Linked DNA regions of Oryzias latipes. The protein of the gene in region 2 interacts with the protein of the main gene of each other region in a pairwise test. Links are inferred from orthologs where the notes say so. Each region holds a gene or a part of one and is shown on either strand. Other genes may lie near its edges.

Region 1 (3,331 bases), on a different chromosome or scaffold from region 2:
TTCAGGACCCGGGCGTGGGCCTTCAGGACCGGGACGTGGGCCTTCAGGACCGGGGCGTGGGCCTTCAGGACCCGGGCGTGGGCCTTCAGGACCCGGGCGTGGGCCTTCAGGACCGGGGCGTGGGCCTTCAGGACCCGGGCGTGGGCCTTCAGGACCGGGGCGTGGGCCTTCAGGACCCGGGCGTGGGCCTTCAGGACGGGGGCGTGGGCCTTCAGGACCCGGGCCTTCAGGACCCGGGCGTGGGCCTTCAGGACCGGGGCGTGGGCCTTCAGGACCCGGGCGTGGGCCTTCAGGACCGGGGCGTGGGCCTTCAGGACCCGGGCGTGGGCCTTCAGGACGGGGGCGTGGGCCTTCAGGACCCGGGCGTGGGCCTTCAGGACCCGGACGTGGGCCTTCAGGACCCGGGCGTGGGCCTTCAGGACCCGGGCGTGGGCCTTCAGGACCCGGGCGTGGGCCTTCAGGACCCGGGCGTGGGCCTTCAGTGGTCCTTCAGGACCCGGGCGTGGTCCTTCAGGACCCGGGCGTGGGCCTTCAGGACCGGGGCGTGGGCCTTCAGGACCGGGGCGTGGGCCTTCAGGACCCGGGCGTGGGCCTTCAGCACCAGGATTGACCAGCCGTGGACTGGCAGGATTACAAACTCTTTATTTAATTGAATTTCCCCAATGTGGGATCAATAAAAAATTTCTTAACTTATTTAATTTTTCAGTCACGTTTTTCTTCATGCAGTTTCATCAGTTCACCACCAGAGGGCGAAGCAGATCCTGGAGATCTGGCTCCTCTGCAGTTCAGTCTTCTGATCTTCAGAGGTGTGAGGTCACATGACTTTACACCTTCTGAGCACGCTCATCCCCCTTCGTGTTCAGGTGCGCGGCGTCTGTCATGGCGGCGTTGTGGGGTCATCTTCAGCGTCAGACCGCATGCTCCTCATGAGAACCGGTCTGCAGAACCCTGGCTGCTGGTTCAGTGGAAGCGTTCCCTCCAGGTGTGTCTAAGTCAGCCTTGGTTAAAAGCTCCGCCCCTTAGGACTGGGCCCGCTCCAGTTTGGGCTCCAGCGGCGCCTGGATGGTTTCTCCAGACATGAAGGCCTCCTGTAACACAAACAACTTTAGTCTGGATCCTGAACGTTCCTCTGTGGACCCCCCCCCCCCCCCCCTCTGTGGATCCCCACCCCTCCCCCCACTGTGGACCTCTTCCCCTCTGTGGACCCCCTTCCCACTCTGGACCCCCCCCCCCTCCCTCCCCTGGGGGCGGGGTTACCTTGTCATAGATGACTTTGATGATGAGTGAGCAGCTGGGACACGTGGCCACCTCCTCTCCGTTCTCCAGATCCTCCTAAAATGCCAAAATCAGGTTCAGGTCTTCAGTGACGTCACAGCAGGAAAAGCAGCTCTAAGGGATTTAAGGTGGAATGTTCCCCTAAAGTGACGGTAACATCGTTTCAAAGGGACTTCTTTAAGTGTTCGAATCCCCTCCGTCTGACCACATGGAACAGCAGGAGCGCGTGCACATGTTCATGACGTCAGCAGCCCTCCGTCAGGACCCAGCCCTTCTATGCCCTCATCTTCCTCGCGCCCAGCTCACCTCCGTGATGACGAAGCGGTCCCCGCACGGACACGGGAAGTAGTACGCGCACGTGTCCTCGTCGTACTCGAAGTCCTCGAGCTCCACTTCATCGTGGAACGCGGACATTTTTCTGACGGCTCCGGGCCGGCGCTTCCTGATGACGTCACCGACGAGCGCCCCGTGAATACGGCCCGTGACGTGTTTGTTGTGATTAACGTTCAGTCCTAAATGTTCAGATTTCAGGTGTAAAGGAGCTGAAAATAATGAACGGAGTCCGTAAGTTTAATTGTAAACTCTTTATGTTTAAACTTCATTTGTTTTTCTGCAGCTTTTCATCTGTTTATTAGGAAAGTTCTGCCTTATTTAGTCTTTTTTTGTTTAAGTTCTGTTAGAAGTTCTTCTAAAATTAAAATAAATCTCCAGAATTTCTCATATCTGTGCTGGAATAAAAGGCTCCAGATAATTTAAGGATGAATCACTAAAACCAAAAGGAGCTAGAATGTTTGACCCTTACCGTTGGACATAGAAATGTATTTATTTAACCCTTATGTGGTGTTCGGGTCTGTGGGACCCGTTTTCATTTTTTATCAAAAGAAAAATGATACAATTAATTAATTTTTCAGACTCAAACTCACTGGCCTTGGCTCATTTTCTGTGAAGAACAGATATTTTTAATGACCACACACCGTATACCCCCCCAACACATTTCTATTACATATAAGATGTTCGGGTCCACTGGACCCGGGGCTAATAGAAGTGTGGAAATTTATGTTTTATGTACCTACACTCTGTCCTCCACCTGTCTGGGCCTGCTGTGTGTGTGTGGGTGTGTGGGTGTGTGTGTGTGTGTGTGTGTGACCAGTGAGAAAGAGAGAGAGAGAGAGGCAGAGAGAGAAAGATTCACTGTAAATGTGAGTTCTGTTTCTGCACCTGCGGTTCCTGCACAAGGTTACAACATTGTTAGAATAATTCAAGAATCAACTCTGTTTGCTCTCGTTCTCCCGCACATTTGACCATTCGACTTTCTTGCGGGAATCTTTAATATCTCGCTCTTTATCTGCTACAAATTGGAGGCGGGACACGTTAAACATAGCTTTGCCAGTGTGGTTTCTTATCACAACTGATCAAAATGGCCAAAAGGCTTTCTGCGCAGATGGAATTGATTTTAGAAGAGAGACGTTTTTGATGATGATGTAGAGGGAGACGATTCAGAAGAGGAGGTTTCAGAATTAGAGGATCACATTTCTGAAAATTCAGAGTCTGACAGTGACTCTGAAGAAGATGATTAGATTGGGGCGGCCGTGGTGCAGCGGTAGGGCGGTCAACCCATGATTGTAAGATTGCAGGTTCAATTCCCGCCTTGCACGCCCATGAGTCCTTGGGCAAGACACTGATCCCCACCTTGCCTCTGGTGGTAGGCGGGCCCCTGTGTTTGGCAGCGGAGCCGCCATCAGTGTCTGAATGTGTGAGTGAATGTGTGTGTGACTGTAAAGTGCTTTGTCCTTGTTGGAAGAAAGGTGCTATATAAGTATACGCCATTTACCATTTGCCATTTAGATTGAGCATCAGCACCCAGCCACAGGACCAGGCTGTCAGCAGCAGGACCATGTGTTGTACAGGCTAGTGGCTAGGAGGCCATGTGTTCAATGGGGCTGATGTGTTGTCTAGACTAATAGGTTTACTCTATGTGTTCAGCTTGTGTTGTGCACCTGAATGGGTTCAGTTTCTGTGTTCAAATAAATAAAGGCAGTAGTTTTGAAAACCATTG
Region 2 (4,553 bases):
AATGCATCATCACAACGTTTCAGGACGTCTACTTTGTGTCCGACAGCTTTGAAGAGGCCAAAGTCAAGATGAGGTGTGTTTGTTAGCTTCATCGTCTCACACTCAGAAAACAAAAACACATTCATCTTATCTTTATTAACAACTAAATTGCACTTTTGCTGGGTTTTTTTTCCAGAGAGTTCGCCAAGACCATCAAGCGCCCCTTCACAGTTCGATACAACCCCTACACCCAGAGTGTGGATGTGCTCAAAGACACTCTGAGCATCAACAGCGTGGTGGAGGAGCTCCGACACGAGCTTGACATCGTGGGTGATGCTTTGAGTCGACTCAACAAGCAGCTGGGCGTCTGACTGCCCACACTTCAGCTGAAGCTAGCCTCCCACAGCCCATCCGTGCACGCTGCGTCCCCCCCAACACTGTTGTAGAGATGTTGCTTGTGTATCGTTCCCCGTCAGCTCAATCGCTTTTTTAAGCTGAATATTCTTTTGTCGATGTAAGTTGTGTGAATGACTATATATACATATATATACATGCATTCGATGTGTGTTGACTTCTGTGTCAGTGAGCCTTTCAAACCCAAAGAGCTGCTTGATCTGAGACACGATTTAGCTTCCATTGTACTTGGATTGTTCTTGATCATGCAACTGATGTGCTTTCATGGTTCTTCACTGCACTTTTACAAATCCCCAGCTGTTACAAACACTTCCCAAAGCTGTCACTGCTGCTCTTGTGTATGACATTGTGATACTTTTTGTTACTGGTTAAAGATTTCTTCACTTGTATTCTTCTTCACTTAAGTGATACATATATCATGTACCTTGTTATTGTTTTATCTGGGTGAACATACTTTTATGCTCTTCTTTGTACTGTCTAAGGAACTTATGAAAGTAAAACCTTTAACTTCTATAAAGAGAAAACCTTTCATGACTGATTGTGACAGATCTGGCCCATTAAGTAATTGATTTAGTTTCTAATGGATCCTAAAGAAATTATTAATATTATTGCACTCTGCATTTGAAATTGTTATTTTTCTACTGTAAAGAAATGTAGAAAATACTTCTATATTATGTATGAAAAAAAGACTATTATTAATAAAGTCTGTTCACAGTCTGTTTCTCACACTTTTTTAATTCTCAATCATTTGGGAAAAAAAAGTTTTTTTATACAAAAATGTACTTTACATTGATTTACATAAATTAAAAAAAAAAGGTCTGGTCATAGAAATTTTTAATTCAAATAAATTTGATTTGCTATAGAGATCAACGTGCCGCCTCTTTTAGCCAGTTTTAACCAAGTATAATAGGCCTATACACTTGCAAGAAAAGGTAGGTGAAAACTTTGGAAGTCCTTCGACTTCTGCATGAAATGAACAACAGTAGTCACATTAGAAAAACATAGTCTGCTTCAACTAAAAACACACAAACGATAGCTTTTCATACACTTGTTTTTTTGTTGCTTGTTTTTTCAGTGGAACCCTCCTCACTAATAAAAGAAAACATACTTTTCTTTTCCGATAGGCTGAGACATGAATAGTAATTTTATTATTTTAAAATAATCTATTACATATTCACTCGTGTACATTTTCTCAATATAATTCCATAAAGAACTTTTATTTGCTGATATGTGCGGGTTTTTTGTTTGTTTTGTTAGATTAGTTCCACTGCTTGTCACTGTAATAAACATATCTCTCCACTTGGTGGCGGTAATGCACCAAGTCCTTTCTTGAAAATCTCAATTGAACCAAAGAAAAAGAAGAAAAGTCCCATGGAACGTAGCTCGCTGGAATTTTGTTTACACACCTGGGTAAGTTTTTTACCTGATAAATCGTTGTTGTCAACATGTCCAAATTTCATCTCTGTGTCTGATTAACTTTAATATTTAAGTGGAACATGAATCAAACACTTTTGGCGACGTAAAGCGAATTACCCTGTTGTTTATACAAAGCAGCACGCTACAAAAAAAAACGAATTAACTAAGACGAGTGTTTCTGAATCTGACCTCTGTAGATTTGTGTTGTTTCAGGGAGCCAACAGTTACGGGCAGCTGGGACAGGGACATGCGGAGGACCAGCTTGTTCCTCGGCTCTCTGGAGTCTCAGAGCTGCAAACCAAAGTGATCCGGGTCGTGAGGGGCGGCGGGGGACACACCGCTGTCATCACTGGTACTGGAATAACCGAGTTTCGACACACATCCATCGTTATTCAAACGTAACTATTTAAGATCTGAGAGGATATACTTTAAACATTCCACAAGGGAAAATCTAAAGAGCATTTAATGGAAAATATGGCGAAAGAGAAAGAGACTTTATGACTACATGATATAGAAAACACACGCAAAACAATAAACACAACCAAAATACAAAACTACACACACAGAAACACTACATTAGTCTGTGAAATGTATACCATAGTTCAGGAAAGATTTCGTGTTGGGTCTTTAATCAAAGAATACACAAAAGGACTCAGGTTTACTTTTAAATCTCTAGCTTTTTTTGTCCAAATTTCATATTCACTAGGGCTGCACGATTATGAAGAAAACTCGAGATATGCGATATTATTAATTAATATTGCGATAACGATATAATTTGCGGTATATAAACAATTAGCAAAACAACCAAAAATATTATTCCCATTCCATTACAACAGCTTAAAAATTATACTACAAATGACCCTTGTTGACGCAGGAGGCGAACATACAACATAATAGGGCGCCATCCGATTAGTTAACAACGTGAAGGGCTCCATCTGATAGGCCAAATGCAGAAAGGGATTCTTTCGATCCATTAAACACTGCAAGCTGCCATAAGATTGTTTGGCCACATCTAAGGTAACCATTTATTGCAAATTTGCTGTCTTTTGCGATATGCATATTGCACAGCTTGAAATTGCGAGAACGATAAATTAGCGGTATATTGTGTAGGCCTAATATTCACAAATGTAAATTCTCTGGTAGAAAACCTTGTTTCATTCTAATCTTTTCTGAGTTAAATCTGTATACAAATAGCATTCGTAATGAGAAGCAAAAAGAAATCAAATCCTTGTCTGTATGTGAAGGATGCAATTTTTTTCTTGCAAAGTTTAACCCCCTGGCTTATTTCTATTTCTATTCTTGTTATATATATATATATATATATATATATATATATATATATATATATATATATATATATATATATATATATATATATATATATATATATATATATATAGTTATGTTTTTGACATTTGCAATTGTGTTCTTGCTGTGTACCTGAATGTGAATTTTTGTAAAATGGCATAATGTTCAATAAAGTTTTAAAAAAAGCTATGCGATAGTTATATTAATCTAGACATTTATAGCTATAAAAATAATTGGAAAAATACATTATATAAAAACAGCTATAGGAAAATGTCAAGCTTTTTATAACAATGATTGAAGTCAGTAGAATGCATTATAAATGACACCAACCCCAGTAATTAATACATTAGGTTTTTTGTTTGTTTTAGTGCCTTTTTTTTGTATCTCCATTGATCAAAATCTATATTTTCTGTGTTTATTTATATAGTGTGTTTGATTTTTTTTCACTAGTAACAATTTTCCTGAAGCTGAAAAGTCAGACGCATTTATTCCCCTCATATGTTTAACGTGGGACAAAACGTACCTGTGGGCTGTAAACAGATGCCAGAGTAAGCTGTGATGCTCCGGTTTACGGTGAAGGCTGAAAAAATGACCAACCTGAACAAAACCACCTAAAATTGATCAAACCGTATTTACCTATTTACAGGCTGTACCTGTAAGTGAGACGAATGTACAGCTTCACCATAAAAACACGACACACCAGGAAATCTACAGAGGAACTTTCCTGTACAGACATTGAGTTCTTGATTTTGAAAAACTGTATTTTAGACCAAACAGATCAATAACTCAAGTTTTTGAAGAAAAAAAAGTATAAATGTTAATGTTTGTAAAGTTTTTTTGTGATCCAACTCTTAATAAATATTGTTGAACCTTTTTATTTCTAACTGTGGTTGCTTCTGATGATTCAGCTTGTTTTATTGAAGCTATTTGTTCTGTTGTTTTGTGTTGAACAGAGGGTGGAGAGGTGTTTGTTTGTGGGCAGAATCACAAAGGTCAGCTGGGAATTGGTCACTGTGCTGACATAGCAACTTTTCAAATCTGCCCCATCTTTAATCAGAGAGTCACAGATGTTGCCTGTGGTTGGGATTTCTCTCTTCTGCTAACCGGTAAGAAATATTCACAACTGAACACAAAGTGCTTTTTCAAAGCAAGTTCTCACTTGAAAGTTTATCTCTCCTAAAGTGACTGAAGCGAGGCAGAATTAAAGTTGGGACTCCCTCATTAAAGTCCCACTCTTGTCATTTTTAGATTTCATTTCAAAACTGGACTTTTCCAGGACATAGTTTCTGCAGAGCGGCAGGAATTCATGAGAAATTCGCTGATGAGCTGTGGGCGAGACCGTTGGCATGGAGTAGGTCTCCCCTCATTTCCCATCATGCCTTTGTTTGCGTTATCTCCTACTCGCTTACAGCCCCTCACAACCCCACCCTAACATT

Evidence for each region.
Region 1: the proteins of sergef (region 2) and DPH3 homolog interact in binary tests that used the Homo sapiens proteins (3 or more experiments, as listed by UniProt). The link is inferred for Oryzias latipes from reciprocal best matches to the Homo sapiens genes SERGEF and DPH3.

What each region holds. Positions count from the first base shown.
Region 1 is NC_019860.2:24,998,932-25,002,262, forward strand, and holds DPH3 homolog, read right to left. Parts: upstream 1,722-3,331; 5' UTR 1,690-1,721; coding exon 1,582-1,689; intron 1,333-1,581; coding exon 1,258-1,332; intron 1,089-1,257; coding exon 1,020-1,088; 3' UTR 671-1,019; downstream 1-670.
Region 2 is NC_019864.2:15,636,387-15,640,939, reverse strand, and holds the start of sergef (secretion-regulating guanine nucleotide exchange factor), read left to right. Parts: upstream 1-1,699; 5' UTR 1,700-1,764; coding exon 1,765-1,803; intron 1,804-2,022; coding exon 2,023-2,161; intron 2,162-4,070; coding exon 4,071-4,223; intron 4,224-4,553. Other genes in the region: tph1 (tryptophan 5-hydroxylase 1), read left to right, coding at 1-73, 176-350. UniProt on the Homo sapiens protein: Probable guanine nucleotide exchange factor (GEF), which may be involved in the secretion process.